Linked DNA regions of Lepisosteus oculatus. The protein of the gene in region 1 purifies or fractionates together with the protein of each later gene. This does not show direct contact. Links are inferred from orthologs where the notes say so. Each region holds a gene or a part of one and is shown on either strand. Other genes may lie near its edges. The genes, in order: sf3b1, srsf1a, snrpd1 and znf326.

What was found.
Region 2: the proteins of sf3b1 (region 1) and srsf1a fractionate together in Homo sapiens (co-fractionation; 3 studies listed by BioGRID and IntAct, with this or other methods). This does not show direct contact. The link is inferred for Lepisosteus oculatus from reciprocal best matches to the Homo sapiens genes SF3B1 and SRSF1.
Region 3: the proteins of sf3b1 (region 1) and snrpd1 fractionate together in Homo sapiens (co-fractionation; 5 studies listed by BioGRID and IntAct, with this or other methods). This does not show direct contact. The link is inferred for Lepisosteus oculatus from reciprocal best matches to the Homo sapiens genes SF3B1 and SNRPD1.
Region 4: the proteins of sf3b1 (region 1) and znf326 purify together in Homo sapiens (co-immunoprecipitation; 3 studies listed by BioGRID and IntAct, with this or other methods). This does not show direct contact. The link is inferred for Lepisosteus oculatus from reciprocal best matches to the Homo sapiens genes SF3B1 and ZNF326.

What each region holds. Positions count from the first base shown.
Region 1 is NC_090707.1:7,058,956-7,066,096, forward strand, and holds the start of sf3b1 (splicing factor 3B subunit 1), read right to left. Parts: upstream 3,012-7,141; 5' UTR 2,946-3,011; coding exon 2,918-2,945; intron 1,039-2,917; coding exon 866-1,038; intron 212-865; coding exon 110-211; intron 1-109. Other genes in the region: coq10b (coenzyme Q-binding protein COQ10 homolog B, mitochondrial), read left to right, coding at 4,740-4,840. UniProt on the Homo sapiens protein: Component of the 17S U2 SnRNP complex of the spliceosome, a large ribonucleoprotein complex that removes introns from transcribed pre-mRNAs.
Region 2 is NC_090721.1:9,632,234-9,639,622, reverse strand, and holds the start of srsf1a (serine/arginine-rich splicing factor 1), read left to right. Parts: upstream 1-4,386; 5' UTR 4,387-4,808; coding exon 4,809-5,002; intron 5,003-6,453; coding exon 6,454-6,687; intron 6,688-7,133; coding exon 7,134-7,257; intron 7,258-7,389. Other genes in the region: pigs (GPI transamidase component PIG-S), read left to right, coding at 1-38, 631-906. UniProt on the Homo sapiens protein: Plays a role in preventing exon skipping, ensuring the accuracy of splicing and regulating alternative splicing.
Region 3 is NC_090705.1:41,557,468-41,565,472, reverse strand, and holds snrpd1 (small nuclear ribonucleoprotein Sm D1), read right to left. Parts: upstream 3,015-8,005; 5' UTR 2,892-3,014; coding exon 2,878-2,891; intron 2,397-2,877; coding exon 2,320-2,396; intron 1,666-2,319; coding exon 1,474-1,665; intron 498-1,473; coding exon 421-497; 3' UTR 277-420; downstream 1-276. Other genes in the region: sacm1lb (phosphatidylinositol-3-phosphatase SAC1-B), read right to left, coding at 7,642-7,778. UniProt on the Homo sapiens protein: Plays a role in pre-mRNA splicing as a core component of the spliceosomal U1, U2, U4 and U5 small nuclear ribonucleoproteins (snRNPs), the building blocks of the spliceosome.
Region 4 is NC_090704.1:1,170,342-1,178,246, forward strand, and holds the start of znf326 (DBIRD complex subunit ZNF326), read left to right. Parts: upstream 1-4,893; 5' UTR 4,894-4,954; intron 4,955-6,059; 5' UTR 6,060-6,061; coding exon 6,062-6,138; intron 6,139-6,377; coding exon 6,378-6,424; intron 6,425-7,147; exon of another isoform or gene 7,148-7,152; coding exon 7,153-7,237; intron 7,238-7,905. UniProt on the Homo sapiens protein: Core component of the DBIRD complex, a multiprotein complex that acts at the interface between core mRNP particles and RNA polymerase II (RNAPII) and integrates transcript elongation with the regulation of alternative splicing: the DBIRD complex affects local transcript elongation rates and alternative splicing of a large set of exons embedded in (A + T)-rich DNA regions.

The DNA.
Region 1 (7,141 bases):
TACACACTGGTGGCGCTTTGAGTAGTGTGCAGAATAAGTATATTACCGTTATTAACAACACGAAGCTAAATAAAACGGGGGGTGACAGCGAGCCACCAGAGGTACGGACCTGTTCTGCAGACTGGGGGATGTCGTTGAGCAGGGCCACGGGAGCATGGTACCCCGGCTTCTTCTGTCCCAGCAGGCTGGTGGAGGAGTCTTCCTCGTCATCCTGCGACCAACACAGAAAAAGCAACAACCTCATCAGTCCGGCTCTGCGGCAGCCCGCCTCGAGAGGAGACATGACACCACCTCCAGCGCCGACTTAAACATCAAACAGGTACGCAAAGGAACAAGGAAAGGTTTCTTCCACGCTGGAAAGGGGAGAAGAAACGGCGGTGAAGGCCTTCTTCGGGTGATAAAGAAGGATGGTCCAGTTTCTTTTCTTCTCTCTTCAGCATGGAATAAACTTGTCCTTGTTTGTTTGCAGCCTACGCAGCTCCCTGCTTGAATTAAACCCAACGGGTATGTACACTTTCACAAATCTTACACGGAAACACGAGAGAGTCTGCAGAAACACTGCAGGGCCACGCTACACACAAATCACAGGGCACTTTGCGTCTTGCTGTTCTAAAAAAAAAGGCATCGGACTTGTAACCGATGACCGTCAAAATACCTGAAAACATAAAGAGATCCTGGGAAAGCACACACAACTGAACGGATAGGGAGGAGCATCAGACCTTGGACGACTTGAACTGTTAAAGATCGTGCACCGGCCCTTCATTCACGCATCGCGAGTTAGCCTCGCGAAGCAGAAAGTCACGATCGCCATTTCTCCCCACAATAATAAACGCCGGGTTCCCTATTTAAAAAAAAAACAACTCACATCCTCGTGCTCGTTGGCGGCGATGGAGGTGACGTAGCCAGTGAAGCGACTGTCGCTGCCGCCGTAGATTTCCTGGTCGTAGTAGCCAGTGGAGTCCAGGCCCACGCCCCTCTCGCCCTCCTCCAGCAGGGCCGCCTTCATGCCCTGGATCTCCAGGATCTGCGCCTCGATGTCTGAGGCAGGCAGGCAGGCGGGATGGGGGGGAGTTGTGAAAGCAGAGAGGAAGAACCGGATCATCAGAAAGAGCACAGATGAGGGGAGGCCACTTGGCCCCTGGCCATTGCCCACCCCAGCAACAGAACAACAGAAACATCCCATCCTGGCCCCTCCCTCCCCTCAAAAACAAAATCTTGTTTTTTAGCAAAAACCCATGCACACAAGGCAAAATATGCGAACTCCACACAGATGGGTGCCCCCATCTCAGAATCAGATCCCAAATCACGAGGCACTAATGTCCCTCCCACAACATCACAGTGCCACCACACCAACAGGGCGCTGAGCAAAGAGACTTCGCTTCACTTCATATTTCACTCTCTCAGCACATCACACCCCAGCAAAGGCTCTGATCCCAACAATCACACCTTAACAACTGAGCCTTGAATGTGCATCGGGAATAAAGAATGGTCATTGAAGCGCAGATTTCAGAACACACCGAGAGCGGATATCAAGTCGTAACACCCACTGACACTTGTACGACAACATACGCAACGCCTGTTTTGTACTTCATGCTTGCTACCATGTTCTCAATAACATTTACAAAAAATAAATTTACACGACCAAGGCCTTCTGACAGAAAAGACCTTTGCACATGCCACTGAAGGGGCTCAAGATGGAAGATCACAGTGGTGTTTAAGCGTCTAGTGGCGTGCAGTACAGAAGGAGGTCACTGCCCAGGAAGAACAGGAGACGCTCCAGGGTCAAGACTTCCCCAATACAGATGTAACGGTACAAGCTCTTAGCATAGCATCAGCAATTAACAAGACAAGGTAAGGGAGGCTTCCCGCGGAGCTGGGCTAGCTCTGCCTCGAGTTTAAGCGCGACTCGTAGGACCGGCTGGACTGTGGCTCTCCAGGCCCAGCGCTGGCCACTCCTGCCCGCACCTGCGCGGAGACCGCGGTGCAAAACCACCCGATTCCCATCTGAACCGGATACCAGACCGCAGCCTGTTTCACGCCAACTATTTCGAAGGGGGGGGCGGCGGTTCAGGGAATCGGGTGAATTTAACCCGAGAGCCGGACTGTTAGCTCTGGCAACGCTGCGTCAGGGACCGAGGACTTGGAAAGTTTCAAACTAGCAGCCTAGACCAGCCTCGTTGTTGAAATGAACGACATGTTGCCCCCCCTGGGGCCATCGACAATTAAGATACTTCACGGGCAAATTTAGTTCCATTCACAAATGCACCCGAGAGGCGAGCCCGCATGAGCATGACTTTGGTCGCAGCTTGTGCACAGCTGAGTGGCCCTGGCTGGCGTAAACACTAACACGCCATTTTTATTCAGCCGGCGCTCGCTGCACCGCGCGTCTGATGCCAACAAACAACCCCCACGCCTCTCGAGGGGCGATTACACGAATGCCCTCCGTTAAAAGACGGCCGAAACGGATGAGCTCGCCTGAGCATCTGCTGTTCTTTCTGTCTTACGAAACGATGCCACATGTCCGACGGGCGCCTCAATGCGCATTTCGGAATCGTAGGGCTACCTACCGAAAACGCGCATCACGCAGTTCCCAATCAACCCTTTATACATTCGCGTGCAGCTACGGATATCTAGTCTAAAATTACGCAGGTTTTCGTTTTGGACAGGTTAAAAAACAGCGTCGTTTGAAATCATAAACTCCCTGCGGAGGCGAGTCTGCGGGCGCCATTATCTCTCTCTCGGTTCACAGAGCGATCACACTGCGCGGCCGGCTCCCCTCACACTCGACAAAAAAAAAACACCTAAACCTGCTACACATAACCCGACTCTGCTTTCGCAGGGTGCATTAGGATCTTAACCCATCCATATGAACGATTTACAGCGATTTACTTTGAGGATTTCCTCTTATTCTCCTTACCTTCGTGTGTTTTGGCGATCTTCGCCATTTTCGTAAATCCGAGAGTCTGTCCGGAAGGCCAAGCTCGAGCAACTTCCGCTCTCGCTCTAAAGGAGAGGTTTATGCGCCTGCGCAACGGGGAGGGGGGGTAGGAGGGGCTTAAGGCGAAGTGCTCTCGCGCTTTGGGTGCAAGACGCCACCTTGTGGTGTCCTGCTGTATCGCCGGGGTTCAATCTGTTAATTGAATAACAACGATGTTGATGTTCAGATCAAAGATGATCAGAGAAGACCGGCGCTCAAGCTCCACCAAAGAGATATTACATAATTAAACAGAAATGTGTATGTTCTAATTCATAATTAAACATAATGAACAGGTTTTTGAACCAGGACATAATAAACTAACCAGGCTCACACCCGGAGGCTGGATACACTGCAGAGCTAAATAACGAGTCTTTGTCTGTACCCCGATTGGTCTCGTGAATAGGGTAGTGAGAACCCGAACTTTTGTGTTCTCTTGAGTTATCGAACCTAAGCCCTCATCTGAACATCGTATCTGGTTCACAATAATTCACTGAGCATTAAACTGAGTGTAATCACTTACTGGGTCATTAATTCATAATTAATAATAATTGCTTACACTTATATAGCGCTTTTCTGGACACTCCACTCAAAGCGCTTTACAGGTAATGGGGATCCCCTCCACCACCACTAATGTGCAGCCCCACCTGGATGATGCAACGGCAGCCATAGTGCGCCAGAACGCTCCCCACACATCAGATATCAGTGGGGAGGAGAGCAGAGTAATGGAGCCAGTTCAGAGACGGGGATTATTAGGAGGCCATGACTGGTAAAGGCCAGGGGGAAATCTGGCCAGGACACCAGGGGGCACCCCTCTACTCTTTTCAAGAAACGCCCTGGGATATTTAATGACCACGAGGAGTCAGGCCCTCGGTTTTACATCTCATCTGAAGGACGGCGCCTGTTTACAGTGTCCCCGTCACTATACTGGGGCATTAGGACCCACATGGACCGCAGGGTGAGCGCCCCCTGCTGGCCCCACTAACACCTCTTCCAGCAGCAACCTTAGTTTTTCCCAGGAGGTCTCCCATCCAGGTACTGACCAGGCTCATACTGCTGAGCTTCAGTGGGCTGCCAGTTGTGAGTTGCAGAGTGATATGGCTGCTGGCTCATATATATTAGATATATTAGTATATATATATAGCGTTTTAATCATTTTTCTCTCCAAACCTAACCACTCGGGGTTTATTAGCATATTGTGCTTATTTTATATTGTAATCTCTTGTAAATGTTTGAATCCTATCGCCTTCCCTTAATTGTTAATTATACTGGGGGCCTTTATTACCATTAACCGTGGTTATGGTTTCTCATGAACCGTAAAAACACTTTGAAAAACTGCTTACAAACCATGTATTAGTATAAGAACGAAGACCTGTTGACATTCAAAGAATGTAAAAAAAAAAAGAGAAGATTGAGCGACTGACGCAGGGGGGACTGACTTTTACACAGTCACATTTCACGCACAATTAGATAACTCCCCGTGCCCTCACCCCAAATTTAGCCATAACCTTTACTTAGAAAGGCAGGGCGCCCGGAGCAACTCAATCCAGCATCTCGTGACAGGCCGGGGCACACAAACACCGCAGGACACACACGCGCCCCCCCCCTCTCCAATGACGGGCGGCTGGAGCCGCCAATGACGAGTCAGCGCTCCGGACCAGGGGCCAATCAGAGCCCCGGCCCTGCAGGGTGTGCTCGGAAAGGGGGGCGGGCCGTCGCTACAGAAAGTGTCGCCTGCGCTGGGCCTCACTTTGTTAAAGCGAAAATGGCGAGAGGCTGTAGGAGCCTGCGGAGAGCTGTTGCCGAATGTATCAATCAGTTACCGGCCGCCGCTAGCCGGGAGAGGCCACCCAGGAATGGCGTCAGGTAGGGTGTCACCTTTTTTTTTTTCCAAAAAAAAGTTTCTTCGCTCCTGCAGTCTGTGTAAAATTTCCGACCTCAAACTCTGCTGGGGTCAAGACGGTAAAACACATTCGCATATTTTTTGTTTGTTTGTTTGTTAAGAGCCGACATATGTTTTAACGAATGTGTACTCGCATAACATCTGCGTTTGTCATGGCCACTGGTTAGACGTCTTCGGAGTATGGAGATGTTTAAGTTCACGAAAACTCTGTGCACTGTGTTTTATTAAATAAAGTACTAACAGCAACATAAGGGACACTTTCGTTTTTAGATGATTTTCTCGCTTCTCCTTGAGATTTCGGGTGTCTTTGCAGCGTTTCGGTGAGTTTTAGCCCTGTGTTGAATAGTTTAAAAGTCGACAGCTGTATCGCTTGACTTGATTAACTGTGCGGAGGGGGAAAAACACTTTTATTTTTCCGGGTAGCTGGAGGACAGTACTTCGGAGAAATAGTTTTAAATCTGCAGTCACCTCTCGAGGCGGGTGGGGGGGTGGAGATTATACAAGACCTCTGCACGATTAAAACAGCTCAGGCGTACAGACGCCGGCCGAAACAAACAAACAATACAGTTATAATCAATTGCAAATATGGAAGACAGAACTGCATTTTTTTTCTAAAGAAAAAGGCCCCTCTCCAGAGTGCTAAATGCCGTGCATAGTTTCTCAGTACCGCATCTGGGAACATCTCTCTGGGAGAGCACGGTGCTGTGAATCGGTGGAGGAAAAAAAAAATTAACTAAACGATCTTAATCGCTTGTAAGATTAACGATCCGGATCAATAGATATACACGCCTGAGATAAGGTGGGGTTCTGTTGCGGTCAAGCAGAGAGCTGACGGCTGCAGGGACAAGATATCGCCGTCCGGTCGGTCCAGGCTCGGGCTAGGTCCGGTTCCCCTCCCCGGACCCCACGGGTCGACAGGGCTGCGGTGCCCGTGTGTGTGGGGGGCGGGGGGTGTAGTCTCGGTGCCGGGGTTCCCTTTATTAAAAAAACACAGCGGCTGGGAGAGGCTGTTACAGACCGGTCCGGTTAAGTAGCCAGTAACCAGCTGGGTCAGTTCGCCAGGAACCGGAAACGGCACAGAACCCCTCCCCCCGACCAGCGAGGAACACCCCTGGATCAGGGGCTCCGCACTTGGAATTTTTTTTTGGGGGGGTGGTCCTGGTGTTGTGCCAGTGGCCAAGCTTGACCTGCTCTCTCCAGCCCTGTGTGTGTCAGTAGTGACCCAGGGGGCAGCCGGGTGGGTCACTGCGTTTGTGATGTCGGTTGGGCCGATGGGGGGGACCCTGGCTCTGGGCAGCAGGGATGGGGGCTGCAGGGGCCCTCCGGGACTCTTCCGGGCCTCTCTTTCACTGGGGCTGGGGGATTGGGGGGACTGACTGGCTGGCTGACAGGACGGGGCCTTCTGGCGCTGTGAGCTAGAGGGGGGTCTTCTCCAGAGGTCAAAGGCATCCGGGGAGCCCCAATTTTACCATCCCTGGGGGGCAGGGAGAGCCGAGGGGCTCCACGCGGAGCTGGGGCGCAGGAAGAAAGCCCGGGTGTCGGCCGGGGCAGCCCTCAGGTGTGTCGGGGGGGGGGGGTGTGAGGCTGAGGAGTGCGGCAGCAGAGGTGTGGGGGGGGGGTGAGGACAGGAGCTTCAAAGAGATGGGAATCAGGCAGGCGAATTCCAGTGGCCGAGCGGAGCCGGGGATCTGGGAGTGCCCTGGAGGGAGGAGCTGATCGTTAGCGCGAGAGCCGGGGGGGAGGTGTGATCCTGCTGTTCGGGACAGCCGTGGTTCCTGCCCCGTCTGTGAAGCAGGAGCGGCGCCTGGTGTACTGCCGCAGGTGAAGCGGCGACTGCGTCTGATGTCTGTGGATTAAGGAGAACGGAAAGGTCGCAGACGAGGGGGCCGTTCGGTGCAACGTGGTTGTTTGGTCGTTCGGGGCTAAGTGATCCCGGGATCCCAAGCAGTAAGTTCTTGCAGGAATCCGGGGAATCCCCGTTGACAATATGGCTGGCCGGTTTGCTCCCTGAATGTGGTCAGCCATGTGTTTCCCCCAGTCCTGAATTCTGAAGTGTCCTTCTGCGAGATCTTCTCAGCTGTCCTGTGCTGCTTTTGCAGTGTTTGCTAATCCTCCTGTTTTGTTATGTGAGCCTGACTAGTTGATGAACTACATCACTATCAATGATCTACAGTGATATCAACAGCAGTGGTCCTAGTAGAGATCTCTGTGGTACGCCACTAATTACATCAACCCTGAATTGAATGATCATCACTGGTCTGTGC
Region 2 (7,389 bases), on another chromosome or scaffold:
TCGGCAACATCGTCATCGACGACCACATCGCGGAGCAGGTGAGCGTGACCCCGCCGGTCATTGAAGAAAATCCGAACCCACACCTCATGGCACAGCATGCCTGCATGGCTCTTTGCTCTGCTGCCACACGGCTCCTGGATCCTGGGTTCGAGTACTGGACCTTCTGTGTGGAGCTTGCACACTCCTAGGATGTTTCTTGAAAAGAGTAGGGGTGTTACCTCGATGTCCGGGCCAAATTCCCCCCTGGCCTTTACCAATCATGGCCTCCTAATAATCCCCATCTCTGAACTGGCTTCATCACTCTGCTCTCCTCCCCACTGAGAGCTGGTGTGTGGGGAGAGTACTGGTGCATCATCCAGGTGGGGCTGCACACTGGTGGAGGTGGAGGGGATCCCCATTACCTGTAAAGCACTTTGAGTGGAGTGTCCAGAAAAGGGCCACTTTTTTAGTGATTTTTCACCACACTGACAGATGGATCAGGTTTGCACCCCCTGCTGGACAGATTGCACTCCTTCCTTGCCCCAGTCTCCTGACTGAAGTGTAGGTTAAGTGGGATTCTTTCGGCAGCCGCTGGCTGTTCCACTTGGTTGAGGAAGACGTGATCTGAGCGAGGTCCTCCTCTGCTTGCAGGTGTACAGCGCGGTGAGCTCGCTGCAGCTGGCCGTGGCCGAGCTGGAGGCCGGGAACCTGGCCTTCGCCTTCCAGTCCAGCAAGGAGGCCATCCTGTCCTCGGAGAGAGCCTTCTTCGACCCCTCCCTGCTGCACCTCCTCTACTTCCCCGACGACCAGAAGTTCGCCATCTACATCCCCCTCTTCCTGCCCATGTCCGTGCCCATCCTGCTGTCGCTGCTCAAGATCGGCAAGGAGTACCGGCAGAGCCGCGCGCAGCGTCCAAAGAGGGACTGAGAGGGGCCCCGCTCGGCCTCAAGTGGACCCCCTTGACCTCTCTCCTCTGGTTTTCTATACATGCATCTACGGAGTGTGCAAGGAACAAGTCCAGGTTTATTTTGTGCTGAACGGAGAAGAAAAACGCAGCGTTTCTTCTGATGCTTGAAGAGGGCTCCACAGCCGAAACGTTGCGTTTCTCTTCTTCTTCTCTTTTCAGCAGGGAATAAACCTCTGCTTGTTCCTTTGCAGCCCACGCGTGCTGACGCAGCTCCCTGCCTGAACTGTACAGAATGAGGGTGTGTGTGTGCTTCCCCTGAAGAGGACCGGCATGGTAGTGCTTTGTCAGGGCGTAAGACCTACTGCATCCCGAAACCTTCTTGAAACGTTCTTCAAACGGTGCACGCACCTGGATCAGGAAGGTTCAAGTCCTACTTCTCGGTCCCCTTGGCACCATGAATAGAAATATGCGTCACAAAGCAAGCAGCTAGCCTGCCTGTCATTAGGCATGCAGTAATTGGAGTAGGTACGTCAGCATGCGTAGGCTGTAAAAGAACGGCAAAGGGTTTATTCCGTGCTGAATGGAAAAGTGTAGAAGGCTGCACAGCCAAAATGTTGTCTCTTTCCCTTTTAACATGGAATAAACTTTTATCTGTTCCTTTGTATACAGTAAATTACTAAGGTGTCTGCTCTACGTTGAGACCAGCGCACTGGTTTCAGAAGGGTTGTGGGGATTGGCTTTCTACCGGCATTGGGCCCAGCACTGAAATATGCTCATCACTGGATTATTTTCGAGTCTGCTGTTCATGGATCGCAGACTTTCTCGTTATGACGTTTTGGGTGCTCGACGTGTCTGTTCATTCGCTCCTGCAGCTCAAAGGATCCGCGATGGACTCGGTGTCGGAACGCTCTCCTCTGTCGGATGGTTTTCCCGGCAGGATGTGTTGAACGTGGAGGCAGTAAACACAGTACGAATGTGATTGATCTGGATGCCATGCTATTTCTGTCTGGATCAGTATATGTATGCGTGTGGTTGTGTTGTTTTCTTGAGTATTTGTTGTTTGTGTTTCTTAGAACCTGTTTTCTTGTGGGGTATTTCTTCAACATTCTTGATTGTTGGATTTATCTATTAAGAGAACAGTTAAGCAGATGCTGTATGAAGCACAGTGGGTGAGAGAGAAATCTGTGTGAAAACTATTTTATTTATTGTGTTGATGGTATATTTTAAGATTCTTTAACACCTTGATAATAACCCCCTACATGAACACGGCTCTTTGTATTATAACATTAAGAATTTAAATGTAGAAATTAGAATTACCTCACGGCCAGTGTTGTTGCATGAGAATGAAATGGATTTCCTATCAAAGATCAATTATTTTTATTTCTAAACTAGAAAACAGAGACTCTCGGGAAAGGGAATGTCAGTGTAGCTCCGAGATGAATTCTGGGACTTCGTTGGCACAACAAACCTTTCCTAGAGCAGAAAGTTTAAATATCACACCTGTGGTGTTCCTTGGCAAAAGAGTTACAGTTCCCAGCAATAAATCAAAGCCTAGACATTAAACAGAAAGTAAATAAAGTGTATAGGCACAAACAAACTGCTTGAAACCTGCATGTTTCTACAGAGGTTACCCAAGAAAGACTGTACACGATAGTGGTTGAAACAGGCTTTAAATCCATGCCTGCATACAGCACAGGTAGTAGTTCAGGTGGGTAGCTGCGTCAGCATGCGTAGGCTGCAAAGGTATGCTGCTTACAATTGTATATGGGGTTGTACTGGTAACTTGCAGAGAATGACCTCTTAACTGGCTTCATCCTCTCTAGAAACCAGGAATGTATTTCCATTCCCAGGAGCTGACAATATTCCCGAAACTGCCTTGGGAAAAGAGGAGGGGTGCAGGCTTTTTGGGAAAAAGAGTTGTGGGGAGGTGGGGTGGGGTGAATTGCCCCTTATCCCCGTTGTGCTGTTGTGTGCCTGGAATGTGGCGCCTCTCAGGCTCACAGGCGAGACACGAGCACCCTGCTGCCAGCCTGTTTCACACAGCAGATGCCCCGGGCTGTCGCCCCGGTCCCCATGCCTGTGTCCAAGTGCATGAAGCCGAGAAACTGCAAAAGGCCCTACACGCGTTTCAGATTTTTAAGATATTAATCAGACGTTTTCAATTTGTTACATTACTGCTCCCTTTTTAAAATGGGAAGGTAATGACTCAGGGCCCCTTGCGACAAAAAAATACAAGTGTTGACTGAATTAAAATCAGGCTTTTCCATTCAGTGGCCAATTTCAAACTTAAATCCATACACTCTGCCACTGACGTAGGCTTGAAGTGAGCTGTTTTTAAATTTCGTGCTGAAATCCTTGTTTTCAACGTAATGGAGTGTTGCAGAGTGAGGTTAAGGCCCATGCCTGCTACTAACTTTGACCTGAACGTGTTTTTTTTGTTGTTGTTGTTATTGTTTTGTACTTTTTATTTTTGGAGGGGCAAAAAGAGTCGCACCAGAATCTCTGTGAATCAAAATAAATAAAAACAAACACAGATGAAGTGTGACTTGTGAGTCCTCTCCAGTTCAGGGAAAGTGTCCCTGCTCTTTGTGTTGTCTAAGGCTGATGTTTGTGTTGGTTTGTTGCTGCTTAGCAACCAATAACTCTGCTATGGGCTCAGTGAAGAGGGTGATCGTGTTTAAATTTCTGTTTGTTTGTCAAGCAAACTTATTTCAAATACTGTCGGTTATTCCACAAAGTTTTAAAAAGAGAGCACACAAAGAGAAAATGGCCGACTGTTCCCGCACGGAGTGGCCGGTGCTTTGTCTATACAGAAGCCAGGAGCCTGGATGCCCTTGAGGGGTTTTATCTGCTGTCCAAAGAGACTAACGGACACGGTTACCCCCCCGTCCAGTTCAGCTGTGAATAAAATCCACATTCTTGAAAACACTTAATCTGTGGAACTGCTTTCAATCTTTCATTTTCATTGCTATCGCCGATTAAGGCAATAAATAGTTTGCATTTCGATTTCAGATTTGGGAGTCATCTTTCGAAAAGCGTCTCATTCAAACAAGTTTTTAAAAGCGAGTGATGCACAGCACACTTAAGACTAACAAGCTATTTATCTGTAATGTCTGTTTCTGGGCGTCTGGTCCTAGAAATCTGATTTCTCAACACTAAACCGTTCTTGGATACACTGATATTGTAGGGTGTCTTTTATCTTTTTGTTTTTTTGCATTAGGCATTGTAATACTATCGAAATCTCTTATTTTTTCAAACCTACTTTATGTAGGTTTTGCACAATTTGAAATTATGAGGTCTGTTGATTGTACATTGCCTTCGATAAATAAAGTCGCTATTTTATAATAGAAAAAAAAACACATTTTCTCAGTTTTCAGAAACTCATAGTAATTTGAAACTGGCGCAGGAGGGGCTTCGGGCGACGCGACCTAAACGACGTCACTGTAGCGTGTGGCCCCCCAGCATAAAAGTTCAGGGTTCGCTACAGGTTCCTCCGTTATTTTATTTGCAGCAGCGGAAGAAAAATATCGAAAAAGCCAAAGCCTTTTATACATTTATTTTCCCTAGTGGGCATTTAACGTACTCGGTGTTTTAATTTTATTTTCCACGCTGGCGCAGCGAAGTGGTAAACAGGGGATTATTTTATAGGTCGGAGGTGCACTTCCAAGCCGGAGAGCGCGGAGCGGGCTCGGTCGGTTGTGTTCCTCCGCCAGCGCAAGACGGTTCAAACGACTGGGACAGCCGGCGCCATTTTGAAGAAGGCAGGGAGCGGAGTGAGTGCGTGGAGACCGAGGCGCACGCTAGAAGATAAACGGGGCATCAAGTTTGCAGCACGTGAGCCGTGAGCGGGCAGGCTGCTAGCCGTTTGTCATTTTTTTTGTTTTAAGTCGCGGTAGTAGCGGTTGAGCGGTTTCCTCGCACGATGTCTGGCGGTGGTGTGATTCGGGGCCCTGCTGGGAATAACGATTGTCGGATCTACGTGGGGAACCTGCCCCCAGATATCCGCACCAAGGACATCGAGGACGTTTTTTACAAGTACGGGGCCATCCGGGATATCGACCTGAAAAACCGGCGCGGAGGACCGCCGTTCGCCTTCGTGGAGTTTGAGGATCCCAGGTGAGGGAGCCGGGCAGGGAGGAGGGAGAGGCGCCGTGGGCAGCACGCGCGGCCTGCGCGGCGCGGGCCTAGGGGGAGGCGCGCGCGCGGTGGGTCCCGTGTCTGCACGATCCTGGTGGTCGGGGCACCCGGAGCCCTGCCTCGTTTGTGCTCGGGGGGCGTTTGTTATGCCTTTTTGTTTTTTCTCCATCGATTGGGCGCGGAGTCTTGTGCAAGTCGAGAGCTAAGGACCCGTTGAGCGTGCGCCTGGCTCTTACAGGTCATGCGGTGTCGTACCCTGTGGCCGGGGCGCTGGAAGTCGATTGCCTGGTCTGTGCGAGGGCGCACACGCGTGTTCCTGGCTACGTGGAGCTGTACCGAGCGTTGGTCAAGCTTATCTGAGCAGATCACTCGGAATTTCGATGAGGCCCTATAAAAACTGCGATGGTGCTGATATAAGCTTCTAGCCGGCTTCTCCCGCGACGCGGCGAGGGTCCCAAAACCCTCCAGAGTCTTTGTTCCTTTGTTGATTGTAAAAAGTTTTCTCTTGGCCCCGGTTTATATGCTGAAGCAGTGATGCAACTTTTCGATCGCCGTTGCAGCGTTGTAAATACAAATTGTCGTCTGTTAAACTTTTTTTTGTTTCCTTCCGCTGGAGATGAGGGACGGGGTCGATAATTAAAATAACCTCGGGGTTTCCCCTAACTTTCGGGAGATTAAACACCAGATGGGGGGGGGAAATACTAGTTCACAGCGCCGTGAAACCATGCTTCACCTGCTACTTTTCAAGCATGCAGGATGTTTCCCCTATTGTGGTGGTTTGGCGCTCATTTTCTCGCCATGTGACGACCGCCGCCAGCCTTGTTGTAGTGGAGGAAGCTGGCGGCGCTCGGAGCCTTCTTATGATTTCTGTGTCTAATTCTGTCAATCGCGGTGAAATATTTGGAATACTGGCATTCACCGACAAATGCTTTATCTTTATTGTAGTTTGCGTTTGCCCCCACCTCATTCCTGACCCCATCTTTGTCTGAAACAGTTCATGCGTCGACTTTGCTCACCTGGTGTCTTTTATTCCTGAGCTGCCCAGAAAAATGAACATTTATTCGTGCATGGGGGCACGTTCAAATGATAGTAGTGCCAATGGAACAGTTTCGAATTCATAATATCACGCGGTTATGAAAACGTGCTGTGCGGTTTGGTTTATCGCGATATGGGACCTGCTGACGACTCGCCGGAAACGCGGATGAGACTGAAAGACATGCGAATATACTCGAGGTACTTTCTGCAGCTGGTGTTCGCCTGTATACACGTGTCTTCCCCTGGCAAACTGTAGGGTGCCTTCCTGCTGTTGTGGGGAAGCATATTTGTTTAAATTAAGCTTTGCTAACCAGCAAACAAATCCACTGTCTTTCCTTCTTGTACACCCTGGTTTCTGAAATAGCTTCAAGTCCTGCGTGTGGTGCTGTTTTCAGGGATGCTGAGGACGCAGTATACGGACGGGATGGCTATGACTATGATGGATACCGCCTTCGAGTTGAGTTCCCCAGAAGTGGGAGGGGCACAGGTAGAGGGGGCGGAGGTGGGGGGATTGGAGCCCCCAGAGGCCGATATGGCCCCCCCTCTAGGCGATCGGAGTACAGAGTCATAGTTTCAGGTAAGCCTCACTACTGGATATTGCAAATCTCTATGCATGAAGTACAAATGGAGTCTGTTACTCTTAATGCAACAAATGATTCTATCTTATCAATTCTTCAGTATACTAGTCATGAATGATCTTTTTATCAAGAGAGAGAAGTTCACATTTGGAAATATTTCCCAATATTGTGAATTTCTAACTGCTGTGAAATCATTTCAACAGTTACAATTAGTCATTGGGCAGTAATAGTAATAATTGCTTACACTTATATAGTGCTTTTCTGAACACTCCACTCAAAGCGCTTTACAGGTAATGGGGACTCCTCTCCACCACCACCAATTTGCAGCATCCACCTGGATGCAGTGAGTGTTTTTTTGTGGGTGGTCAGTTACAAATGCATCTTTCATCTTGTATTGATCTGGGTTCTTCTGCTTTGCTTCCAGTTGCTTCTTTTGATCAGGTCTGCAATTCTCTGCTAGGCTCATCTTCTCTTGTAGAGGTCTTCCCAAGTGGCAGTGATTCTCTCGTATGTTATGCTGACGTTTTCCGAGATGGAACTGGTGTTGTGGAGTTTGTTCGCAAAGAAGATATGACCTACGCTGTACGAAAACTGGATAACACTAAATTCAGATCACACGAGGTAGGTTTGAGGTTTTCTAACTGGACCTGCATTGGATACAAAGTTCATAAATGTTGGATTTTTCTTTTAAGGTAAGCAAATGAGCTGGATTTAATGACATTTACTGGGACCTTCTTGTAAGTGAGATGTCCC
Region 3 (8,005 bases), on another chromosome or scaffold:
AAAATGGGCTGAAGAAATGCATTAGAGATTGACCAATAATGTTTAAACCCTCCCTGTGCGTTTGCACACAGACAACTTACAAGGGCCAAGCCTGGATTCATCAACAGGCCCCCAACAATACAAGCCAGTCCCACAGCTCAATGCCAAGAAGATCCGTCTCGCTTAGCAAGACACTGCAAACACTCCTCTCCATCAACACATACAGTACAGAGCAGTATCTATCCCACCCAAAGGAAAGATTAATTGTAAGTGTTAAAGGTTAAACAGGGCGCCATGTTATCAGGAATATGGTTTTTATTAGATATAAAAAAACAAATGGGAGATCATCCACAACATTTTCCTGCGAAATAAAAAAAAAACTGTACAGACAGCCTCTGCCGGAGAGAGGGAGAGCACTTGCAGCAGCAGCAGTGAGCGAAGTTATCTCCTCGGTCCTCCTCTGCCTCGCCCTCTTCCTCGGCCTCTGCCCCGTCCCCTGCCTCGACCGCGGCCGGCCACTGCGAGAGAGGACAGACACCAGTCACCCGCCGTGCCGCCTCACGGCCCAGCCCAGCCCGCGAGCGGAAGAGCAGGAGCGATGCACACCAGTAAAACAGCGAAGGGGGTTACACACGCCGAGGAGAACCTGTCCACTGTTTGTGCAGACGTCCAGATACCACGGAAGAAAACCGAGCCGCTCTTTAAAGATACCGTGAGGGTTAAGGAAAAGGGGCACAGAGACTCTCAATCATTACATCCACATATAAACTATTTTCACGCAACTTCCTGGGAATAGCTCAGGAAGTAAACTCTCGTTATAAACTACGACAAGTACAAACCCATATTACCACACCTGAAACGTCTGCTATAAGATGACTTTAGTTTACTTTAAGGTTTTGTCAGTATATAAAACATAGAAATACTTTGAAATGCCTCAGTTTTTTTGCACCCCAGTGAACCACCCCAAAAAAAACAAGCAGAAACTTAACTTCAGGCAATGAATTACTATGATGGTTTAGTCTTAGCAAACTGATTTCATTTTCATCTACATAAAGAGGCACCAAGAACGTCTAAGGCAGTTCCTAGCACATGCAACAATATTTTCTTGGTTTACACTCTGAGCTTAGGAAGTTGAATGTATTCAACCAAACAATGAGTCTTAACTGAAATATGATTTTGTACATGAACCGCTGCTCCAACTGTCCTTTCAAACAACCTCAACAAGAAACCACACATAGGACAATTTAAACCCAGGAACAGGAGACACTTCATTACCCCAAATACACCAAGGGTAGCGGGAGTGTGGAACAAGCCGGCCACCATGTTGATCAAGCCGATACCCCGGCTTCTCTCGAGAAACCTCAAGAAGAGATCCTGACCTCCTCTCTTTTGGGAATATGCTTAAGTTCTTATTTAAAACTGCGTGAAGAAACGCACTTCTACTCCGAAGATATATCTGACTGCTGAGGAAAAGCATCTTCTCAGAACTCCTACCTGCTTCCCTCTTTTTGGACTTGACCTTCGGCTCGATGTCGACCAACAGGGTGTCGAGAGGCAGGCTGTCCGGCAGGATGAAGTAGCGGATGTTGTTTCCACGGATGCTCAGCGTCTCCAGCTGGACAGGCTCCCTGTTCTTCAACGTCATTTTCACAGCTTTCAGGTGAGTGTTCATGCACACATCCACCCCTGCGCAGCACACGAACACGGGAAAGGGGGTGAGCTATCCTACTCATGGTCGCACAAAGAACACTTGGTTTTCTGACCAATTAGCCCACCTTTCTCTCCTATGACTGGCTGAAGGTTAAAGTAAATCTGGTATGAATTCGCTGTCGGATTGACTTTTAAATTGATCCCCAGCACACAGGACACGCATTGAGGTCTGAACAGGAAGCACCCCCAAAAGATGGCAAATACTTTTATCCCCTGCACCGGGTGATCCCTGACTGCAGGTTATTGCAGCAGGCAAGTAAACAGTTTTTCTCAGGGATCGACTATCCTTAAACAGAGAGATGCCCGAGTATCACCCAGCAAAGCCAGTTAGTACATGCTCATGCTCAACACATTCGTGAGAAGGGAAGCTGTTCTGGCGAGGGATAAGCTTCGTGGATTTTAAGGATCACTGGGGCATGGAGCCTCTGCCCGGCGGAAGATCGATCAGATCTTTTCCCGGGCTCGGAAGGACCCTCCATCCAGGCGTGCTGCGAGAGACAGCCCGTTCCCGTCTCGAAACGAGACAAAGGACCGGATGGTCCAGCTCTCCAAACCCACAGCGTTACTGAGGGAAACCGACCCAGTGGGCTTCTCGAGAACAAACACCGCAACAAGAGCCGATCCACCTACCAGTGATGGTGCCGTGGACCTGAGTTCCGTTCTTGAGCTCTATGGTGACGGTTTCATGGCTCAACTTCATCAAAAATCTGCAAAGGTGGGAGGGAGAGGGGAAAGTCAGTGCATAAAACACCCGTCAGGTAGCAAGAGGGACGAGCACCGTCCCGCACCGGGAGGCTAACCAGGAAAACCGAGTCGCACCGACCGGATGAAAACACGTCTCCGGCGGGCCGGCGCTCCTCTCCAGCACGTCTACGGTGCTTTGTGCGGAGAAATTAAAGAGCCGCGCTGGGACTCGACTGACCCGCCGCTTCAACACAACCGACAACAGGCGCGGATTTCGGATTGCAGCAGCCGACGCGAAACGGCGTTTCTCCCTCCCACCCCCTGGAAGCCGTTTGAATCGGCCATTCATTTCACCCCTTCCCGCCTCCCGCGTCTCCCCGACGCGAACGGCGCTTTCTGGAGCTGAAAACAACCCACAATCTGACTCCATCCTCGGCAATCCCTGCGCTTTTACACCCTTTAGCGACGCTGGCCCCAAGATCGAAACACCCCGAAACGTCTTACCGCACGAGTTTCATGCTGGCGGCTGATGGCGAGAAGAAATCCCCCACCGGAGTAAGACAAAAAATTATACACGAAACGATACAGCGACGCTGGGCCGTTCCGGCATTAAATCGGAAACTGACTCGGAAGTGAAAGGCAGCGGTGACCCGGAAACGCACCGAAGGCGCTGAAAGACGCAAAGAGGGGCCTCGGGCGTGGGATGGGGATGGGAGGCTCAGCACAGCGCCACCGTGTGTTTCATTACTCAGTGGAGGAACAAGAAGACGGCGCCCTCTTGCAGGGTGTCTGCCGAGGACGAAGCTGGGAGATTCGTTTCGTTGCTGTGGGTGGAAACGTGTTATCGAAAATAAAGCACAGTGCACTAGTGTTTTCGAGATGCGTTTCCTCTCGAAATGTGGAAGAGCCGTTTTTACGCTCGTAGGTCTTATTACTCGTCTATGCTGGTTGAAACACGGTGCCAAGGGGTAACAGCGCCCATAACTTTCAGGTGATGTGCTTCCACGCCAGCAGCTATAAAAGCATAAATATTTGCCTAACCCTTCCTCTGTGACTGGAAACTTTAAAAATACCTTATTGCCATATATCAGTTGTCAAATGTTTATCAGTTTTACCATGTAGAATACATTTATTTTCTGTTGCAGCTTAACGTCTGTTCCATCAAGATGGGGCGAAATGGCACAACCATGCAGTTATTATTCTCTGCAGTTATTAAGGACTATAATGAGAAATTGGGACTTTTTTTCCTGTGCAGTTTTGAAACGACCACATTAAACTTGCTCTATTTGTTTTAGATGTGATGATTCCTTATAACGAGCTTGTCACGGCTGAATCGCTTACAAAACAAAAAGAAGCCAGGTTTTGGGCACACACAGAAGACAAATCAGAAGTAAATGACTACAAATGTCTGTTTTTCATGAGAATTTATTAATTCTGTCAAATAAAACATACCACTTAAAACATGGAATGACAGAAGTGAGAAAACGATATTTTGGTATTGCAGACAGCCACAACAAAACATTTTTAAAAATCATTACAATTTTGAACACACTGGAAATATTTTTTCTCTACCCCTTACCTTGAATACATTAGGAAGAGAACTGGCTTCTTAGTATTTATGCACAGCAGACATAATAGGATCCATTCTATCATGATGGCTAGAGCTATCTTGACTCTTTTGTACTCAGCCAAAGCAAATGGTAATAAAATACTTCAGTAATTAGGTAATGGTCATTATATTATCTTATCCACTCTCAAAAGATATTAGATCAAAGCAGACAGGCATATAGATGTGTGAAAAGCATGGTACTTGATCTGTCAAGAAAGAAAAAGCAGCAAGCATGCAATAAATATACAATGTATAGTCAATGATGTAGCATTTGGATTAAATCGTGTCACATGCATGGTGATATGGCCAGGGTTATAGCCGTCATTAAAAGTTTCTACTTAAATTTAGATACAAGATACAACTGTAAATTCCAAACAAACAGATGAATTTCCTGCACATCAAGTAACCTGGGCACATCCATGCAAATCTCTTGCCATAACCATGTTAACCTGACATAATTTGAGAATTTATTCACTTTGGACGAAAGTTCCTGCAATGATCATGCATTCATTCTATGACAATGGAATTAAAGCTGTGGCAGTTCCATTTCTTTAAAACAAGGCAGAAAGCATACAGTCCGTCAGCGATACAACTGTGCACCGTCTCCAAACTGGGCATGTGCAGAACAACACTGAACTACAAATGCAAAGCTATAGATAGAGGCTCTAGTCTGTAAAGCTAGTCTCAATATCGGTGCACTGTACATGTACCGACTGCTCAGACTTGTGGATTGAAACTAGAACATCTTCCCAAATAGGTTTGGATGTACAAAACATTTTAATTTTAACTTGCAGTGTTGAAGTTACAATTAAACCATTATTTCATTAAAGATAGGTGACCTTTGCACTTAGTTTAATCAAAAATTACCTTTAAAAGACTACTCCCATTTTCATCCCTGACTTCTACTGTATTTTATAACTATATAACTCTGTCCATGACATGTAACCGCAAGAGGAAGAACAGGGGTTTGTAAAATATGAACGCTAATAATATACCAGGTTTGTCATTATTGAAATGAAATCCTTATTCTTCATTTATATGAAAATGTTTTTGTCTTACATCTGAATAATGGAATGGTTTCTCAAGTTCATTACAGGAAAAGCACTAATAAAACAGCAATGACTGAAATAGGAAATGAAACAGATGTTGATCTATTAATGACTTTATTGCAAAGTTAAAGACAGCCCTCCCTGTAAAACACTAACCAAGTGTCAATATTTAGAAATCAACTAAATCTAATGAGACAAAGTGAAATATAATATCCCTAATCCATCTCTCACATTATTACCAAGGTAAATATACAGAATGGTGAGCATATCATCCACTAAAAGGACATAAAAGAATGATCAGAAATGATTTTACCAATATCCACTACATCTGCACAAAGAGCTGTACAACAACTCAGGAGTCATATTCTACAGTATAAACAGCAATGTTCCCTTTAAGGGCAGTAAAGCATTTGATCCAGATGAATTGACATGTTTTGTAGCAGTCATTGCAATACAACATGAGTTTTAATATTGTTTTCTTTCTCTAAATTAAGTCTACCTCAACCACACTGGAGCAAGTCATTTTCAAATATAGCTTTGTATACAGAGATGTGTACTGTGTATGAAGTGCAAGGAAACTGTCCAATACATAATTACAAGGAAATATTTTACACAATAAAAAAAAAAAGATCTGAAAGTCATTTGTATATGTAGACAAAGATCGCACTGAAAACAAACTTGAGGGGGAGCAGGCTGGTATTCTTTTAACCTACGGGTGGATCTGTACCTCTGTCCACCTAAAACACAAATCCCCACAACTCTTTTGTTTTTCTATTGAAAGTATCTGCATCATGTTAAAATGCTTTTTTTTAAAAATGAAGAATTTCCATGCAAAAAAGAGTAAAAGTAAGTTGTAGGTTATTTGCACCAAAGGTTAAAACAACTTGATATCTCAAGTCTGTGATTTCCTATTTAAATTGCTAAGGTACTATTAAGAAAAAGCTGACCTGGGGAAAAAAGTACATACAGTATAATGAATGTGTTAACACTGTTAATATTTTATGGTTTGGACCACTAAATTAAAAGTGGAAAAACACATACAAGGCATGTTAACCAATTATACATTCTCTGATTTGTTAAGACCATCCTGAAGCCCACTTATCAGAAAGAAACATTATAATTTACATTATTAATATATACCATAGGTCTATCAACACTTTCCCCATTGTTCAACAGCTTGTAAGGCAGACATTCAAGCTGAAATCTGATTAACTGCAGAGCTGAGAGCACAATACAACAAGACAAAACACAATGACAATGCAACCAGTCAAAACCCAACCCAGTGGTGTTAAGTCCAGCAATCAAACAGAACATTTGCAAAAGCAGACAGACCAGCCACACTAATGTGGCACTTTACATGGTTAAAATGATTTGGTCCGATGGGAACTTTATATGATCTTAAATCTGGCAATGTTAATTTTCTACAACTTAAATTCATACCCAGTTTTGAGGTATGATGATTATTGTCTCAAAGGTTCTAGCAGCAAATGTTATTCTTCTGTATTTTGTGTTACTCCTAGGAACTTTACTTCTTGTTAAAGAACTTACAAAAATAATCTCCTACAAAGTGACTGTGCAAAGAACAAAAATGTTCAGGCAATGTTCAGAGACACCTGTGAAACCTCACAACTCTCAGGAGTTTGGGATTTTCCCCCACACAGGAGCTCAAATGTAAAAGGACTGTTTTACTGGAAGATTATAAGGTATAAGATGGTGAAAAGGGAAAATGTATTCCTTCTTTCACCTTGATTTCATTCTGGTTTCCTTTCCTTTATTATTTTGGACAATCATGCAATTATTTTTTGTCAATAAGGCTTTTTGGTATATCCTCTTCAAAGTAATTAATTTAGTTAAAACAAAGTAATTACATACAGACAAGGAAAACTGCACTTTATCAAAGTATTCATGTAATTTCTACCGGGACACTACAAATGTCTTCCGTCAGTATGTTAATTAAAAAGGGTGTTAAACCAGCGACAATGCATATACTGAATGCTGAGACCATATAAAGATCCCATTAAAGGATGGAATATAGTGTTCTCGATGCTAACACTTCTTTGTAGATCTGGGTTAAGGTCCATTCCCAGTTCCTGTTCAGGGATTGTGAAAAAGAAATTGGAATTGGGAATTGATTTGAATCTGAAAGAGTGAATCTGGAAAAAAAACCTGGAATTGACTATGGCCCTGTTATACACCTTGTTTGGCGCAAAAGCCAACCAAGACTGCAAATTCTGCTCTGTGTAAGAAGTGTGGGAATTGCAAGAGGAGAATAAGTGCTGCGGTACAATCTGCTGGAATCTGAACATCACCTGTAGAAGATGCTGCACGTGGGTGAACAGCAAAACGGAGCGGTTATTTAAATCTCGGACGGTGTCAGACACTGAGGAGGGGTTTTGTTTTCCGGATGTATGACGCTTCTTTTAGATCCCCACACCCCCTAAAACACCCAAAGACAGAAACTGTTTCTTGATGGTAAAAATAAAACGAAAGAAAAAAAACCCAACGCTTATGAGGATAGCCTCCTGCCATGGTGTGGAGAGCAGGTCAGTACAAACTCCAGGCCTGCAGGGAGGAATCGCGGTAACCGATCTGCTTTCCACACGCACACATTCAGTCCATCTTCTCCTTCTGGACGAGCTTCGGGGCATCGACGAACTCCTTGCCGTTGAAGAGAATGATGGCTGCGGTCCCGAAGCTGGCTGTGCCCCAGAACAGCACATAAGCCAGGGTCTCCGTCCAGGTGTCACCTGCAAGCACACAGGCGAAAGAGCGCAGCAGGTGAGAAGATCACGCACGACAGAACTGCAATGTCTCAGCTGCCCTTGCTGATCAGAATCCGCACACCGAAGTGCTCTGAAGGTTAGCTGAGACAGCTCAGACTAATAATGTACTTTCAATAATGTAATAATGTAAGCCCGTTGTAATACAAAGGCCTGGCCAAATGTTACTGGCCTCTTTTTTTTCTTTCACTCTT
Region 4 (7,905 bases), on another chromosome or scaffold:
GATGGGAGGTTTGTCTTAGCTTGACTTAGCTGATGGTTTGAACTGTAGGAAGTCAGTTGACATGATCAAGAAGGGTCCAGTTAGCATGCTGAAGACTTCAGTTACTGCAGCGTTGCCTGTTCCACACAAGATAAGTGGGGTTGTGGGTATTAGTGACAGTACAGGCACTGTTTCAGGATTTGTGGACAAACAGTCTACATGTCTGAAAGAAAAAATAAAGCAGCTGAAGTCTGGAAACCTGGAGAGAAACCCATAGCTGCTGAAGAAAGTAGTTCTGGTCATTCTTTTCCATTTTATATGTTTTTTTTCAGAAAAAGACCAGTGATTTGTTTTACAATGCTTGTGCTGTTCATAGCTTTATGCTGTCTCACTGAGGGGGCTCCATCACCAAGCTTTAAGATTATTAGAGTTATTGTTTGTAATCTGCTTTTAAAAAGCTTTATATCCGAATATAGCTCACAAACTTGAGTTTGCTTTGTTAAAACGTTTTTTTCTGTTCCTTGTGCTTGACCTGATTCTTAGCTGACAGTACCTGTACCACCTGGCTCAGAATTCGGTCGGTCACTGTTCGTCGGGCTGCAGCCTGCTGTGGTGGCGTTCTGTTTCTGTACTGTCGCAGAAGAAGCGGTGAGCTCCTCTAACACAGCTTGCCTCCGTGGCGTCACGGCGGCTTGCGGGGGGGGCAGTGCACAGCTGACCGCTTCCGGGTCCAGTCGCCATCCTCTCTGTCCAGGTCCGGAGCATGGCGGGACCTGGCTCCCTGGCCGCACCGAAGTTTCGGAGTTTCTTTTCAACAGAATAACCGGTTTTAAAGACTTGCCTGCGTGGGCTTCATCTGCCTGAGAGCCCCTGTAGCTCAGAGCTCTTGATGTAACTTCCTGGTGTGTGCACGGTGGTGAGAGCCAAAGACACGTGCTGCAAACCTGCTAGCATTTACCATTGTAACCCTGGTGCACCGTTCCGTTTAGGAAATGGGGAGAGAAAACATGGCTGTTGTCCTCTCCTTTGGTGTCCTTCATGTTCCAAACAGTATGGCAGCAGGTCTCTTGAGCAGTGTGTCCTCATGGTTCAGGTTGGAGGACCCTTCATGAATACACACACCACAACCTGTGCTACAGCGCTTTCAGGACCGAACCACCAGTGCAGCAAAAGCATGCTGACTTCGTCCTCAAAGCGCCATAATTCACTTGAAGCATCACATTTCTTTCAACAGTGGCATTTTTACGTTTAGTTCAGGGGTTAAAGAAGAAGTGTGAACAAACCAAATCAGTTCAGTTATTAAGTTGCACATGGCAGCAGTTGATTAGAATACATCTTTGGGAAAAGGAGTGTGGTGAGGTTTTAATAAAAAGGGTAATGTATACAGACAGGGCAATGATAGTATTCATCCATTCTGAGAATGATAAAGCTTTAAGAATTGTCTAGTGTCAGGCTTTTTGTACATTTTTTGTGATTTTTTTAATGCTAAATTGAGTAAAAATGTGTTTTTGTTACTGTGGAATGTATAAGGCATTTCATTTTCCCTCCAAAAAAACACAATACATTTTAATGAGTATGCAAAAGGTAACCCATGAACAGCATATATCTCTGAATGAACAGATACCTTCTGTGAGGAGAGTTCATGCTCTAAAAGTAGGCGAAATATGCAGTGCTAAGTGTTGATACAGATCTGTCACACATCCTACGTATAGGACTATCTCTTGTTGGCGTCTTGCGTTTAATAGATATTTAACAACAGAAATTATTTCTGCATGGTGTGGAGAGGGGGCCAAAAGAGGTAAAGTAACCCTAGAGCCTGTTATGTCACTCGATATTTTTGTGAGACTACTTTACACAGAGCTTTCATTTTGAATCGGACAAAGACGACCCGGGTGTGGTCAGTTAATATTTCAGTGGTTGTTTAAAAATAATAAAATATGTAATTAATATTAACAATAAACATAATCTTCAAGCCGTAAGTCAGACACAGGCTGTGGGTTGTCATGATCCCTGCTCGGTAAACGAGGCTTACTATTATGTGCGAATGACCAAAAACGTCATTTTATCTCTTTTTTTTATCATTTTATATCAGCTTTTATCATTTCACCTGTGCTCATCTAGCTCACATACACTGTTCTATGTCTTCAGTAAACAAGACAGTCTCTCTACAGAGCTTCATTACGGACTGATTTCCCTGTTCTACTCGGTCTGGACTGAAATAAGCCCCGCAATGTAAAAACAGGCCTCTAGGCTCCAGCTCTTGAGCTGTGCTTGGAATGCAGTGGAAGCCTGATGTGACTTGAATCCAGGCGGATGTGAGTGAATATTCAGCTTTACCCTGAGAGCCAGGAGAGGAGGAAATAGCGACGTGTTTCTCATTCCATTCCCCTTCAGGGACTTTGTTGCTCGTCCTGTGATTAAATATCCCTCATTAAGTCCTCCTGAAGCTAGCTAGATCTGACAGCTGGGATAAACCAATTTTGCTTGTTACTGGTTTTGACGTTGTTAACCCTTGTTAAACTTTCAAATGGCTTCTCGTTTCCATGGCGCTCCGCTGGGCCCGTGGAACAGGTGTGTCCGTGTGACAGCCCCAGGGCCTCTGGAAGTGCAGGACCCGCCGGAATCGAAGGACCCCGCTCTGTGTCCGAGTGCGCTGTTGCCTGGGAAATCTGACACCGCGACACAATATCCCCTCTGTTTCCAGCCTCACCAGACCAGGCCCTCGCACAGACGAGCCTTTACTGACATTTTGCTTGTCTTTGAGGATGTAGTAGGACTTTTAGCCCACACTTCTAAGTGTAAGAATTTGAACAAAATAGGACAAAGATTGAACTGGCTTTTCTAGATTTCTGCCCACAGTATACGTTCTCCATACAAGCAAGCTCATTGGTTTAGTTTAGTATTTTTTGCTTTGAATCTGTTTTGCTTCTTTGTGTTTTTAGTGTAGTAAAAGCTCTGACATTCACCCATACGGTATCAATATTTAAAGCAACTGCAAATTGAAAACTTGATAAGGAAGTACTAGGGGAAGGACTTCATTTTTATTGTACTTATAAAACTTTTGTTTCTGAGGATCAATATAAAAGGTTGTTTTTTATTGTACAATAAAAACTATGGGCACGGTTTGTTTAATAACATAAGTAAAATATATCAGGATAAATCGAACCCAATAATCCCTTCTGTGAGGCATAACTGTGTGGCCAAATAATGATTTGAAGTTACCTGATTTTATACCAAAAATTAATGTCTTTTCTTATGGTGTTCTTGTGTATACCAAGGCCCACCAAATATTTTCTTTAATTTATGTAAATCATGTATGTCTGAAATGAATGCAGCAAAATGGACTCATTCAGCTTCCAAGGTGTCCCCACTGAGTGCTTCAAGGAATAAGGATGACCTGTGCACATTTGATAAAAAATGCTGCAGTAGCTCTGCGTGTAGTATACAGGATGTCTGAAGTTTCTGATTTGACATCAAACCGTGGACAAAGTGTCGGCATATTGCAATAATCTGAAAAATGTATTTTAACGAAATTCTCCAGTAAATTCTTGTTCTGTTTGTTTTTTCTAAATGCTGTATATAATTTGCAAGATTTTTGGAAGAATAAATGCGTTAAAAACATGAATATTTGAGTTCTGTGATTTGTGCTAATTAACAATTCTGTGCAGAACGTGAAAGCTGGGAAGCATCGCATTGACTTCAGTGTTGTCGATGGCCCGACAATTAGGATATTGTTTAACCTTATAACCTTATCAACAAAATAAGTTGTGCACGTTAAGAAATACCGTGGCACGTGTAATATGTTTGTGTATATATAGGTTCCCTCTTATTAGGCTGTGTAGAGATGCCACCAATATTTAATGATTCCAATCTAGGAAATTTAAAAATGTATTTCGTTAATACAATATTTAAAAAGAACTAAATTGTGATTTGCTTCCTCCTTTTAACTTGTTCATTAAAATATGTGTAAACGGATACTATGTTTAATTTAAAGACGAATGTTTAATTTAAAGTGCCTCACTATATTTCATCCTGTTTTTTCGATGCTTGGAAATATCGTCAACAAACGGCCTGTTACGTTTATGAACAGCTGAATTTTAAAAAGCCTTTAGGAGAAGGGAGCGTTTATTACTTATTGTTAAAATATAGGCCTTCAGTGCAGGTGGAACTAGTTTCCAAGAACTTTTCGTCAACTTCATTTGCCTGGACGGACGAGGAATCTAATTTAAAGATCATGTTGGAAACAACGGAGCAATTATCGAGGTGGACCTGCTCAAAGGACCATCACAAAGAAGCATTGGGAAGTGTATTTTTCCTGAAGCACAGAGCGCCCCCTAATGGGAAAAACGGCGAATATAATTTCTTAGTGAAAAGTAAATTAAATGCACAAAATGAAAACCGAGATTTTTAAAGCGTGTTCAGGGGTTTGTTCACGGGCTCATACGACAGTTGAAATCCATATTCACAAAATTTGCTCACGAATTTCAAACCTTGAAATTGATCTCATTTAAAAAATAGGATTGGTAGACTTCTGATCATTATAGTTTTTATTTTATTAACATGGTCCATGAAATAGTGACAACTTTCGTTAAACGTAACACATGAAGTATTACATTTTAAGTGCATCAATTTTCTGTAGTCTGTAGTAAATTCTAGTCTTTGCCTGTTATTACATAGAACAGAATCCATAGTATCGATACCCTGATTAAAACAGGAATGGGTATTTACAAATTAAAAACCTTTGTGCACGTAATATGAACTTGGTAGACGAGTAAGCAGTCAAGCAGTTAGGGGTTTGACAGCTAGTAAAGGTTTCAACTCACATTTATATTCTGATACATAACGTCTAGCTCTAACGCTCTGAGGTTACGCTTTTGTAGCCCGGAACGTGAAAAGTGAAAGACGCAATTCCAGCCGGACCTTTCTGTCTGTAACACGAACAACAAAGGGGGCGAATAGCATCTGGATGTTGCAGGTAAATACTGAACATGCTACAGATTTTTCTCATGTTTAAGTGTGCCGCTTTCTAGAATTTAAAACAATATTAAATGTTCTTGATATTTATATATCTCCATATCCATGTTTTATTTCATGTGTGCCGGGCGATTTTTTTTTTCATTTTTGCGCAGCTCACCGGGCCTTTGTTGAATATGATTAAACTGAAAAATGTGTGGGAACGTCTACCAATAATTTCATGGTGAAAAACGAAACTGGGAAACTGTACTACACGAAGCTATTGATTTCTTGATTTAGTGATAGAGGCGGACAATAATTCGTAACTAACTGGTTCTGCGGAAAACGACGCTCCTCCGACCTATTGTACTGGGATGCCGTGGTGAATACGTCCAGTTTTACACAAGCGGATTCATAATGCAATCGGATGCCTGTTTAAATATTTAAAGACTTGTATTATAACCACATGCAAATGCGTTTTAAACCTAACATACGCTTTTGACTGTAATCGTATTTTGAAGACTAGGGTGTGTCCAAGTTAGACCTAGCTTTATGGTTCTCTTTGGTCTATTGTGTTTTAACATTTATTTTATACGTATTTAAATATATTAACCAAACAGATAACTATATTTGTTCCCAATAGTGACATGATTACTGGTGGTTTGTGAAACAGTTATTTAGTATTTTATAAGGTGATATGTTTTATATTTCACCGGTGGGGAGTCCAGGTCCTGGACAACCACAGTCCAGCAGACTCTGTGGGTCACCCTCAGATCCCAGTGCCTGAACAGCTGGAACAGAATTTCGTTCTGTCCCCTTCTGCAGGCGATTTGTTGAAATAAGTAAATCACGAAAATGTCATGAAATTAAAATATTCCACTGCTGCCTTGATTGAACCATTGAACTTTCTAAATTGCTCAAAACCGATGTGTTCCAAGTCTTCACAAATTTATTATTTAGAGGTGACGTATAAGATCTGCTGGACCTATAGCACCTCAGGTGTTTTTAAATATCAGTATTCTCAAAGGGTGGGGTGTGGTTTCTTGAAAAACCCTTTCATACCATCACAGTTGGTGTCTTTGTTGTTGCTCCTTCAGTTAACATAGCTGACATGGTTCCGTCTACAGAAATGATTCGTGGAAATGGCAGAGGACGGTTTGGAGGACCAGCTCCAAGACCCCTAGAACCGTACAACTCCTTTGAAAGGTGAATTCGAGCGCACAGGGAACCGTTACGTGAAATATTATGACTGCTGCAGCCCAGGCTCGATGCTTTAAAGCCGAGTTTTGTCCCAGTTGTGAGTGTGCTTCGGTGTAATGTCATTAGCTTGTGCTTCAGTTAGGAGCTAGGTTTTGTTAATAATAGTGCATGTTATTTTATCTAGGTTACGGAGGTTTTTATTCTTCTTCTACATGCAAACTTAAGAGCAAACATTTTCTCCGCAGGTACTCGGAAAAAGAAGACCTGATGACATCACCCTTGGGGAGTGGAGGTGAGAACCTTCGAGTGCTGCATTTCAGGAATGTGAGAGTTTACAGAGATGAAGGAAGCCCTTCCACACGTTTAGCTCATTTGTTCGTTGCTTGTAGCCAAGCAGTCTGAGGATCTTGTCCAGCTTTTTAAGACTCGGCAATCTCTCTTTTATAATGTGACCAAACTTGTGCACTGAAGAGTGTGCTATCAGTTAAATATTTTGGTAAAAAACATCAGTTTTGCTGAAGCTTTTGGAGGAAAAAAAAAAGACCTGTGGTGTGCTTTTTAATTTGAAGTTTCTGCTTTGTGGTTGCATGACTTTGTATTACTGACAGTTTTCCTTCTGTGCCTAGCACGTTTTATCTGCTGTGCCTAGCATTGCACGCTTCCTGACTCATCTTGTCTTTGCTCCCTGAAAACTTTCTTGGACTTGGGGAAAAAATAACAAGTAACCCTATGATGGGTTTTTCTTATCTTCTAGTGTAGCTGAATTGTATGTAGGTTTATTCCAGTCTTGGCTAAGTGACTGTTCTAAATGAGGTCTTATTAAAGCCTATTAAAACTGTACAGTGTGCTAATTTGAAGATGTGGGACTGCAGTGGTTCCAAAGATGTATTTTTCTATCTCTGGGAGAACCATAGTGACATTGTCATTAAAGGTGCTGTGTGACATAAACATGATTTTTCTGGAAGCAGTACAAATTATCCCTGTAACATAAAGGTGCTGTTGGTTTCTGTTGGTCTGCAGATATGAGCCATGGCTGTTCCCAGAGAAGGTACGCAGGCCCGGTCTCAAGGCCCTTTGACAGCTTCGAAGGAAACAGTCTTGAAAGGTAGGAGATATTTCTAGTTTTTCCAAGACAGAAACGTTTATTCTGTTTTTCAGGCTGCATTGAAAGGATAGTATTTTTTCCATGTCTGTGTATAATGTTTACACGTCATGGAACAAGACAGAACTGTAGTGTTGTAAACGGAGTTTACAAGCTGAATGTGATTTGCTCTTTCCCTAAATATGTACATAAAGAAAATTGATTTTGCTTAGTTATTTCACAGTTTACAAGCATAAATAGAACTCTTTAGTTTCTTCTTGTATTTCTGTATTGTGAAAATGAAATATTTTATTTACTCCCAGAAAGATTAGTTTAAAGTTAAAAAAAACACAAGTTTAAAGAGACATGGCTTTATCATCGTACTGTCAGACTAGATGGATATTATTTAAAACCAAGCTGACAAACTGTTTTTTTCATGACATAATTTTAATCACATTTTCCAGACTTTATTTTGGAAGACTGGTTTGTAAAAGAAAAGGTATTGGCTCTGAATTCAGCATGCTGTCTTCCTGTGCTGCACACACTGGACATTAGCTAGTGATATTCAGACTTGAGGAAGAAAAAGAGGTGATACGTGGATGTTTCATTGTTCACAAATTGAAAGGATGCTAATCTGTTTTGTGAGTCACCTTGCATTAGGACTTCTGATTAAGCATATAAACAATCATCAT